Macaca fascicularis: one gene and its partners. The protein of the gene in region 3 purifies or fractionates together with the protein of the main gene of each other region. This does not show direct contact. Links are inferred from orthologs where the notes say so. Each region holds a gene or a part of one and is shown on either strand. Other genes may lie near its edges. The genes, in order: ZMYND8, MORF4L2 and KDM5A.

Evidence for each region.
Region 1: the proteins of KDM5A (region 3) and ZMYND8 purify together in Homo sapiens (affinity purification with mass spectrometry; 3 studies listed by BioGRID and IntAct, with this or other methods). This does not show direct contact. The link is inferred for Macaca fascicularis from reciprocal best matches to the Homo sapiens genes KDM5A and ZMYND8.
Region 2: the proteins of KDM5A (region 3) and MORF4L2 purify together in Homo sapiens (affinity purification with mass spectrometry; 4 studies listed by BioGRID and IntAct, with this or other methods). This does not show direct contact. The link is inferred for Macaca fascicularis from reciprocal best matches to the Homo sapiens genes KDM5A and MORF4L2.

Annotation. Positions count from the first base shown.
Region 1 is NC_088384.1:103,301,076-103,304,724, forward strand, and holds part of ZMYND8 (MYND-type zinc finger-containing chromatin reader ZMYND8), read right to left. Parts: intron 3,185-3,649; coding exon 3,032-3,184; intron 285-3,031; coding exon 1-284. UniProt on the Homo sapiens protein: Chromatin reader that recognizes dual histone modifications such as histone H3.1 dimethylated at 'Lys-36' and histone H4 acetylated at 'Lys-16' (H3.1K36me2-H4K16ac) and histone H3 methylated at 'Lys-4' and histone H4 acetylated at 'Lys-14' (H3K4me1-H3K14ac).
Region 2 is NC_088395.1:110,058,383-110,062,131, reverse strand, and holds the start of MORF4L2 (mortality factor 4-like protein 2), read left to right. Parts: upstream 1-1,143; 5' UTR 1,144-1,202; intron 1,203-1,675; exon of another isoform or gene 1,676-1,690; intron 1,691-2,466; exon of another isoform or gene 2,467-2,535; intron 2,536-3,749. UniProt on the Homo sapiens protein: Component of the NuA4 histone acetyltransferase complex which is involved in transcriptional activation of select genes principally by acetylation of nucleosomal histone H4 and H2A.
Region 3 is NC_088385.1:1,144,822-1,148,570, reverse strand, and holds the start of KDM5A (lysine-specific demethylase 5A), read left to right. Parts: upstream 1-1,357; 5' UTR 1,358-1,545; coding exon 1,546-1,710; intron 1,711-3,749. UniProt on the Homo sapiens protein: Histone demethylase that specifically demethylates 'Lys-4' of histone H3, thereby playing a central role in histone code. Does not demethylate histone H3 'Lys-9', H3 'Lys-27', H3 'Lys-36', H3 'Lys-79' or H4 'Lys-20'.

The DNA of each region.
Region 1 (3,649 bases), on a different chromosome or scaffold from region 3:
CTTGTCCTTGACTGCTCCAGGGTCTGTCTTCTCGCTGGCTGGTGATGTGCTTTTCAGCTCCTCTTTAATCTCCACTGGGTTTGTAGGCTTGGGCTTTTTTTTAACAGCAGATGGCTCTTTGTCCATCCGACAACCCTCTTTGTCCTCTGTGTCTTCTGGCTCGTTCTTGGACTTCTGCTCATCATCACTGATATACTCACTATCGCTACTATCTGACTTCTCAGAATCCTCCGAATCGCTGTGCTCTACGGCCGTATAAACATCTTCCGAGATTTCATTTATGCCTAAATTCAAAAAGAAAACCCAGCATGTGGCGTAGTCACAAAATAAAGAGCAGGACGAAAAATGCAAACACTTTCCACAGCAAATGCTGGAATAAGAAAAGCACATTTCAAATCATATCACATTGGCCTGAATGGGGCCAGTAATAAACCCAAGTGGCAACTGGCTGTGGCTGCACTTGCCTTTGGAGAGGGTTTTGGGTGTTAACATTCAAAGGAGACACAGGACCTACCAACAGAAATTTTAAATTTATATGGCGCTAAATATGTGGTGCCAAATTTTCGCAACGTTGATAACTAATTGGGATTACTGAGAATGAGAGGGCTGGAAGGGAACAGCAGGGATAAGCTGTTCAAACTGATCCAGTTTACAGATTAGAAAACAGAGGCCCAGGGATATCACCTGCCCTAGGACACAAGACAGAGGCCAGGCCAGTACCCTGCGTTCGTGGCTCCCCACCAACACTCTTCCCTTGGGTTTCCAAAGCGTTAAAGTTCTTGATCCTTTGTGTCTAGGCCAAAGAAAATAAGCCAAAGCCTTAAAGCAGAGGTTGCAAACAGCCCACAAGCCACATCTAGCTTGCAGACATGTTTCATGGGAGAGGCACTGGTTTGCTCCACAGGGTATCTTGTCTGCTTTTAATTTATAAATGTGTTGTCCAATTCACAAATGAGGAAATTTCACATAGAAATCAAAGCAGGGGCTTCTGATGAAAGAGCAGAAAATCTAGCTGCTCTGGGTCACCGGCCTGCCAGGCATTGGCTGGGACAGGAAAGCCAATCGCTCCACTAGGCAGGGGACACACTTGTCTCCAGGTGACCCGGGTGCCCGGCCCTCTCTCTTGTTCCCTGCACTCATGTGGAAAGTCAACTGCCACTCGGTGTGCACTGCTCTTCCACTGGTAAAGGAGTCAGGAGAAAAGTCACATACTTCTGTTTCTTTCAAAAGGGAGAAGCACAAACTAGCAGGTATTTCACAAACAAAATGGGCAAAAGCACATTTCTAACAATAGTTCCATTTAACCCATTTATGGCTCCTGCTCCCAACCATATGTTATGCCATCATACTGTAGGAGATAATACTATATCCTAAACTTTTGGAAAGAGGAAAGAAAACCCAATCAAGTCTGTGCAATCTCTTCATTCCAGAGCAATGGCCACTGTGAATGGTGCCACTGTCCGACCCAGACACACCAAAAAGAAACCTGCAAAAGTATCAGAGCCATGAACAGCCCAGGGCATGGGGGATCAGCAGGATCACTGGGGAATATATCTGCCTCCACCAGGGTTCAATCAAAAACACAAGTCCAGCCAGGCACAATGGTGTGCACCTGTGGTCCCAGATATTCAGGAGGCTGAAGCAGAAGAACTGCTTGAACCCAAGAGTTCAAGGCTAGCCAGGGCAACACGGGAAGAACACAAGCCAAAATACAAACACCCAGATCTGGTATAAGTCTGGGATCCTAGGCTTGCGCTACTGGTAGCTAATGATTGGAAACAAGAACGAAAAGTGTAACCACATATGTGATAGGAAAAGCTTGGGTACTGGAGTCCAAAGGACATGAATTCAAATCCTGCTCTTCTGTTTTTATTATTGGTTGACCCTGAACAAGTTATTTATCTCTCTGAGCCTCAGTTTCTGTATCTGCAAAATGGGACTGATAAAGTATCAACCTCCCAAGACGATCTATATGCAGTGCTTAGCATAGTGTCAAAGGAAACACTCAGTAAATAGAAATAATACAATTCTTATTAGCAATAAAAATAAATCAAGAGCTGGACCAGCTGCATGGAAGGACCCAAGAGGATAATTTAAATGGCATGCCAAATTTCACCCATGCCACCCAATGTCCTCACCAAACAGGCAACCCAATGGGAAGTGGTGTCCTCTGGACAGCCCCAGATGGTCCCTAACTCTAGCTGCTTTCTCACCTGAAGATGCTCAGAGAAACTTGCTCTCTAGGGGCCCAGCCATCCCTAACTTCTTTACAAATGCCCTCCTAGCTTTACTTACTTATTCAACAAACATTCCAGAGCATCTACCATGTGCACAGACCAAGTACCATAGAGAAGGCAAATCCTCATAAAACAGCCTCCCTGCCCTCAAGGAGCTTCCAGTCTAGATTGGGAGGGACACCTCCACACAAAGGGAACGTTGCTACTTCTGAGCAATAAAGTACCAAAGGAGGAGGGCAGATGGGGAGGGCAGTCAGGGAAGACTTCCTGGAGGAGGTGAGATCTGAGCTCAGCCTCACAGAAGGCAGGATTCAGGTAGGCAGTATGAAGGCAGGCAGCACAGGGAAGAGGAAGGAAGGCAACAGCTACAGAAGCAGGGTTTACCAGGTAGGGAGGAGACCAGTCTGGAGGGAAAGGGTTTCGTGTCGGACACCTGCAGAACACACTGACTACTCGTGTGGAGACACTGATGTGTACTGAGAAGGAGAGCAGAGGCAAACTCAGAAGATCCTCATTCTGCTCGTAAACCTTGATGCTTCAAACCTGTATCTTGAGTTTCCAGGCTGCTTTCACCAAAGAATAAACTGATGAGTTCAAAGAGCCCCGAATTAACTATCAAGTCTGAAGTCTTTTGCCATGAGTGGAAATATATTTTAGCTGAGCAAATCGTTCAAAGTTAAAGCAGCTGCTAAAAGCAGCCAGGATTCAACCTTGATTTCATCAGGGTAGTATCCCTACCAGTAATGGTAACAATGATACTGCTGGGAAAAAAAAAAAAAAAACCAAAGATATACCTAATTGTGCTTTGCAACTCTCTATGGTCTTGTCAAGATTCAGCTGGAACCTGCTACGAATCTGGCGCTTGGGAGAGATGAGAGGAACAGGGGTGGACTGTTGCTGGACCGACTCGCTCAGCTCCTTCAAATCCATTTCGGCTTTGCTTCGATCTGAAAGAGACCATCACACCCTCGTAAGACCAGGCACACACCATGCTCATCACAGAGCTTTGTCCTTGCAAAGTCAGAGCAAAACACACATTTTAGAACATGGGGAGGGGGGATACTTTTTTTGTCATTCGTCCCAACAATATCATCTGCTCAACCACATGGGGTGACATGAAGATAATGGCCCGCGTGAACATGTTTGGCAGGTTTAAACAGTCCACTGAACAATCGTCTGGGTGACTTTCAATATTTAAAATGGACAATCCCAGCCAGATGGCTCAGTGTGTGGAAGTCAACACCAGTAGGGACCCTCCAAAGACAAAGGTTACGGGCAGATATTCAATCTCAATTTCAGTGAACAAAGCAACACCGAGCCTGGTCAGGGTGCACTTATAACTTCAGGTCCAGATTGAAGAGGACTTGTATCCCAAGAAAGATGGCGACCCCCTCGAAAACACCCTGACAATT
Region 2 (3,749 bases), on a different chromosome or scaffold from region 3:
GATAGATAATTGAAAGGGGTATGATTTTTGTTGTTTGACTTTGATCTAGTACTGCTCATCTAATAAGGACTTGGTGATAAATTTAAAAAAAAATCGACATGAAGGATATAACACAGCATCTAAAATATAGAAAGCATACAAAAAACTGAGGATCACAGAACATAAATCATTTGCCCAGGGTACTGAGACTAGTAAGTGGTGGAATGAGGTTAACAATTAAGTCTCTTTCTCTCACTCCAAAGACACAATAAAATCTACCAATACCACTACAGAAAATAGGGTGCAAACACACATATCTGATACAAATTTCAAGAGAAAAGGAAAATCAGTTTTCTTTTTTTTTTTTTTTGAGACGGAGTCTCACGCTGTTGCCCAGGCTGGAGTGCAGTGGCGCGATCTCGGCTCACTGCAAGCTCCGCCTCCCGGGTTCACGCCATTCTCCTGCCTCAGCCTCCTGAGTAGCTAGGACTACAGGCGCCCGCCACCGCGCCCGGCTAATTTTTTTGTATTTTTAGTAGAGACGGGGTTTCACTGTGGTCTCGATCTCCTGACCTTGTGATCCGCCCGCCTCGGCCTCCCAAAGTGCTGGGATTACAGGCTTGAGCCACCGCGCCCGGCCTTGGAAAATCAGTTTTCAATACCAGGGTCCAAGTTTTACTGATGAGTTCTTATCTCTTTACTAAAGTAACAGCTATCTGTATTTTCAGTTTGGGTGAGTTGCGAGCATTTGAAAAGTTGAGGAAAAAGGGTTAGGATCTTCAGCATCAGTGCTTGGGTCATTCATTAACTCTTTGATTAAACAAGGCAAGGACAAAAGAAGCGAGGGATGGAGAGGGGCCTTCCCCCCCGCCCCCCCACCCAAGGAGAAAAGGAAAGAAATGAGTAAAATTATTTGGATCTTGGGTCACAGTTCCCTGCCTACTAGTGCTATTCACAGAAGCTGATTTTATTTTTTCCTAGGAATGAACGATATCAATGATGCCTTAGATATTAGCGTTCAGCAAATCAAGAAAGGGGAGGGGGGAGGGAAACAAAATCCCAGAATCCCAGGGACCACACAGCCAATCCTTTGCTGGGATTTGGCGGCATCTAGTGGCGAACTCGAGAGGTATAAACCTTACCCACAGAACTTTCTGGAAAATTAACAGTGCGTATTTGCCTGAAGAAGGTCAGTGTGCTTGCTTGGAGATCAGAACGCAAAGGTAAGAGCGCCCTAGTCACCATAAAAATCCGGAGTCTCTAACGGAGGGGAAGGCTGTCATAGATAGATATTCTCATAGGAAAATTGTATTTGTGCCAAGAGAACTGCACGCAACCTTGAAGGGAGGGGGGAGGTGTGGAAGAGGGGAGGGAGGAGGATACTAGACAACTTGAAAGAAGTCTCCCTTTGGAGTTGCTAATGTGACGATGGAAGGCTTTGGCTCTGAATCATTGGAGGGCTGTGGTTTACGACCGGATTTTGGCACAGAGGAGTATTTAAATCAGGGAAAGCCAAAATATTTCTGACAGTGCCCCTTTATCTCTGTTATTGTCGCCTTGCCTTAATTATTTATTTTCCTTTTCATTAGAACATTTTCAAACAAAATACAGAAATAGATAACCTGCGCGCAGTAGCTAACCCCTCCCCGCAACTCCCACCCCAATCACGCACGCGGGCGCGCGCCGTGGCTCTCACCAGTCCAGACGCCAGGGGCGCACGCCTGCGCAAACACATCACCTCCAGCGCCACGAGGGCCGCTCACACAGCAACCCCAGGGGCACTCGAGCCTGCCCGCGCACTAACACACTGGCCTTAATGCCTTGCGCCCGTTGCACTCACGACCCTAACTCGCAAACACAGCAGAACCCCCCACTGCGCCTTTTTTTTCCATGTTCGGGGAGTTGCGCCACAGGCCTGGGGGCGTGGCTCCAGATTTGACCTCGCGCTTCCCCACTCGCGGGAACCTTAGCTCATTTCCGCCTATTTCCGCAGGCCACGTAGACACTTCCTCTCCCAGTGGGGGGCTGGGGGGAAACACAAACCCATAATGCCTCCCTGCAGGAAAAAAATTAAAAAAAAAAAAAAAAGGAAAAGGAAAAAAAAAAAAACCTTCTGGTCAGAGGAACTCTGGGTCGTGAAATAGGCCACGTGAACATTCTGCCCTATAGACTTATGACCCAACGGCTGTCACGCTTTTGGAGGGCGGGCTAAAAACCTAAGAGGGCGAACGTCATTGGCCGGAACGCGCACTGACGGAGGAAGAGGATTGGTTTGCTGTAGGCCTTAACAGTGAAGAAGCAGGTTGCTAGCACCCGCCTTTACTGCGGCGAAGTGTCATTGCTGACGTGGGGGTGGTTGTCCAATCATTTGGTTATGGAACATTCTAAAACTTAGACAAGACGATTGTGATTGGCTGAAGGGCATACGCCCTCCTCCAGGGTGACGTGTCTGCCTATGGATATCAGTTGCCAGAGAAACCTGGCTTTACTATGGCGGTTGGAGGAACGGCAGTGATCACACGTCGTCTGCTGGGAAGATCTGGATTCTCGTTTCAGGTTTCGGGGTGGGGGTGGGGAGAAAGGGTCGATGATTTCCTCTTTTCGTCGGGTATAGACGGGATTAGCTAGTTCCTTCACAATCGGTCAGAGCTGGATTCAGATTCCTGCTCGCCAACGCCCAGCTTGGGCAAGGCTCCTGTTCTTTCTGTGTCTCGGTTTCCATGTTTGTAAAATGGTGATAATAATAGTATCTACCTCAGAGACGTGTACTGTATAATGGTGCGTATAAGGCACGTAATATGAAGCCTGGCCCCTGAAGATATTAGCTATTGTTATGGAGATAAATAATACACGTAATAGAATGAGAAAAATTATAAATTATATAAATTCGCTAATTGTAGTGCCCTTTCTGCCATCAACTTCTTTCCTAGAATAAATTAAAGATAAAAGAGATATATCAATTTTTACCAATGAAATAATTTGCTCTTTGGGAATTGCCTCAAAATTGCAGAGATTGTAATTTTCCCATGTTGAAAAGTTAAATAAAAGGTGGGGGGGTGGAGTGCGAGAAAGAAAGAGATGGAGAACGAGAGCGAGCTGGAGATGAACCACATGCGATGAGTAGGCCTTGTTTGGATCCTGAATCGAACACACCAACTGTAAAAATATGTTTAAGACGCATCGGGAAAATTGGAACATGGATTCGATATTTGATGTTTTTTAAGGAATTGATGTCAATTTTTTTAGGCGTCACAGTAGTATTGTGATTATGTTTTCAAATTGTCCTTTTTTGTAGAGACATATACGAAAATATTTACGGATTAAATAATATAATGTCTGGGATTGGCTTCTAAATACATTAATGACTAGGATTTGCTTCAAAATAATCTAAGCGGTAGGGGGAAATGGGGAGGGGTATAGATGAAACAAAATTGACCCTAAATTAATAATAGTTTTTGCTGAGTGATAGGCAGTGGGTTCCGTATATTAATCTGCTTTCCTTGGTATACGTTTAAATTTTTGTATAATAAAATACAGAAGTCAGATATTCCCGTGAGCTTGAAAAAGTCGGGGGTGGGGGGGAGCAGTGGGTGGGGTTATAGATGAAACAAGATGGCCTTCAGTTGGTAATTGTTGAAAGCTGGATGATGGATTCGTGTAGGTTTGTAATACTATTCTTTTATTTCATCCATTTGAAATTATCTTTAAGGAAAAGTTAAAAAAATTGTCAGAAGTTATATAAATATACAATAAGTTAAATTTGAAAATGT
Region 3 (3,749 bases):
AAATATTATTTATTATTATTTAAATAAATATTATTTAAATAAATATGAAGGAGGAGTTCACAGTTCACAGATTTGCTCAGCCTAATCCTTCATATTTATTTAAATGAAGGATGAGTAGAAATTTAGGAAGGGGATATAATGATACAAATGATTTTGGGTCAGCAGAGTACAAAAATGTTCTGGACAGAGGAAATATGTGTGATGGCTCAGAGGTGAGAAAAATCATGGTGTACTAAAGTCACAACAAAGACTTCTGTAGATCATATGGAGAAGCAGTAGAGATGAAGCTGGAGAGTAAAGCAGCAAATCAGCAATTAAAAAAGATGTTTGGAGTTGTTGAGTTTGGAGATGAAAAGTGACAAGATGAATTCTGGATTTTAGACAAAGCAATCCAACTTGAGAATGGAGAGGAATTTCAGAGGAGAAAAGAAATGAGCTGTTGTCAGTAAGAGTATTTAAATTAGGATACTGGTAACAAGGATGGAGAGACACACGATTATACATGGGAAGTGAGAGCAGAAAGCATGAGGACTATTTCTTGATTGTTTTTTTTTTTGCCTCAGGCAACTGAATAGATGAAGGTATTAATGAAACCAGGAACACTGAAGAAATAGTGACCAATTAAAGTACTTTGAGTTATCAGAGTGAGATGTCCTGTAGGTAGCTAGACAGTACTGGCTGGTAATTCAGAAGAGCTGCTGTGTTCTGTGTAAAAGGAAAAGCAATTCCTGGATGGTGGCTAAAGCCAGCTGGCAGGATTTAGGGGATGGGTTAGACCTGCACTTGTTTTCCTGGAGAAGAGGCGGCTATAAAGTGGCAGAGTGAGATTACTGTAAAATACCTGCATTCAAAGGGCTAAAAAAAAGAGAAATGCTGGAACGGCTACTTGCTAGAAACGCAGCAGGGTAGGTTAAAACAAATCACGAAGCACGGGCGGCGAGGCTGGGGGGCTAACGCTAAGCCCTGCGTGATTTCGACTACACCGACACACAAAAGGGAAAGGGACCCTCCTCACCGGAAGCACAACCTCTGCCCTCTGGGGCATTACACATTCCTCCGCGCCGGAAGAACACGTCGCGCCTCGCCTCGCCCCGTCGGCCTGGCTCTGTCCCCACCTCTAGTGAAGGAGAGATTGCGCCTCTCCCCGACCCCCTACCCAGGGCGAGCCGCGTGGAGTCGTTGGACTGGGCAGAACTTTGGCAGGCAAGGAGAGAAACAGCCACACCGGGCTGCCGGGCAAGAGAAGAAGGAGGAAGGGCCAGATACCCGGGCGTCGCGCCGCTGCGGAAGGATTCCGTTTCCTGCGGGGGCGGAGGGATTTGACAGCACAGTAACTTCCGGAGAAGTCCTGACCCTCAGAGGAAAAGCCTTGCAAGAAACAATAACAAACGGGAGGAGGAAGCGGTTCTGGGGTGTCTGTGTTGAGCGGTTCTTTTCCGCGAAGATGCGCTTCGGCCCCAGTCAGGGGACGTGAACGGGCTCAGTGGGCTTCAGCCAGCTTTTCTCCACCGGTTCCCCACGGGGACCCCCCCCCCGGCCGCTGCAATGGCGGGCGTGGGGCCGGGGGGCTACGCGGCCGAGTTCGTGCCGCCCCCGGAGTGCCCCGTCTTTGAGCCGAGCTGGGAGGAGTTCACAGATCCGCTCAGCTTTATCGGCCGCATCCGGCCTTTGGCGGAGAAAACCGGCATCTGCAAAATTCGGCCGCCCAAGGTACCTCAGTCTGTGGAGAGAGAGGGGGAGAAGGAAGAAGGGGGGAGTCCGTGCACTGGGTTTAGCCTTACTTTTCCGATCCTTCTCTCCTTTCGTATGTACTCTCCTTTATGTTGAGACAACCGGAGCCTGTTTCTGGATGTTTCTGCTTCGGTTTCTTTTGTGGTCTTATGTAGACACGTCTGAATGCGAGAAAGTGGTGTCTCTGGGGTCTTCCGCCTAGAACTTGGGAACTGATACTTTTCTCTCCGCTGTGGGCCTAAAGCCCTTCGTTAGCCAATATGAGGTTTAATTAAAGTACATTCTTCCCTCACGTATCCTCATTATGGTTTGATAGTCGGCTATCTCTATTCAAGACCTGATTGGATCAAATATTTGCAGGCCTCCTCTCAGGGCTAGGGTTTCTGAAAAGGTAATCTGAGCTCTAGTTCCACCAGATGGTATTATAGACATAGAACTCCAGACTAATCATTGCTGCAGTGAGAAAGTCTTACCGGGGAAAGAGGAGCAGCAATAATTCTAAAATTGAGAGGTTTAGGAAGAATTCATCTATAATGGAGGCGGGAGGAAATGTTGAAATCTCTTGACATAGGGAACTCAAGATCAACGATTTTAGAATCACAGTTATTGCAGATAACTAGGTTTGCCTATAAGGTTAATTATAATCTCAACATTGAGGTAAGGAAAGTAGGTACTATCCCTTGTGTGGAGGGGATTAATGCCCCAAGAGATTGAGTGAGATGCTCAAGGTCAAAAGGTGTTTTTCTTTACTCATTAGATCAGTGCTTTTTAAATGCTGTTGCGGGACCACTTGCACCTGGGTCAACTGGATGCTTATTTAAATGCAGATCTCTAGGCTTCTTGTGGAAGTTCTGGAATCTGCTTTTCTAGCAACTAGTCTCAGATGATTCTTCATGTAAGTTGAGGTTTTCGAACCATTGCTTTAGTCATTGCTTCTTAAAGGCATTTTGCTTTATGTTTTGTCTAGTATTGGTAATGATAAAATATTAAGCACTGTTAACCAGTGTTGCATTTTAAAAAGCATCTGCCGTCACCACTGACTACCACAGTGATAGGCACCGCAGCGAATTAAAAACTTAAATGACAGCGAGGAGGAGCTAATTTAACACCTATAGATTGTTTGCTTTAATCTTTGAAGCCCTGATAGGTAAATGAAGTCCACCTTTTACAGATAAGATTAATCTGGATAAGTTAAAACACCAGATGGGTTATCTTGGGCAAGTGGCAAAGTATATTTTGAACCTAGATCGGTTTTTCTGATTCTGAAACAGACATAATGCTCCATGTAGAATGAGTTTAAGGTTATAGACTATTCGTTGCAAGCAGAGGATTAACAAATAATTGCTGTGATGATATGCATTGCCATCCTCCAAAAACTTCCATTTAACCCTTTTTTTCTATCATAATTACCTAATATTAACAAATCTTAAGCATTGAAGGTTTTCCTAAGTCGTATTTTCATCTACTCTTGAATTTATTAATTAGAAATTCTATTCACGGTTACTTCGATTAAAAAAAAAGTTTTTTTTAACTTAAAAAATGTTGAAATAATGCTTTCTCTTTTTTTTTTTTTTTTTTTTTTTGAGACGGAGTCTCGCTCTGTCGCCCAGGCTGGAGTGCAGTGGCGCGATCTCGGCTCACTGCAAGCTCCGCCTCCCGGGTTCACGCCATTCTCCTGCCTCAGCCTCCCGAGTAGCTGGGACTACAGGCGCCCACAACCGCGCCCGGCTAATTTTTTGTATTTTTAGTAGAGACGGGGTTTCACCGTGGTCTCGATCTCCTGACCTTGTGATCCGCCCGCCTCGGCCTCCCAAAGTGCTGGGATTACAGGCGTGAGCCACCGCGCCCGGCCAATGCTTTCTCTTTTTATGTCACATTATTGAAAATAAATCTTGTTTACAATCAGAATTTAATTTTAGTATTGGCAAATTTCTTTAGTTTCCAGGCTGGAGTGCAGTGGCACGATCTTGGCTCACTTCTGCCTCCACCTCCTGGGTTTTTTTTTTTTTTTTGACTAC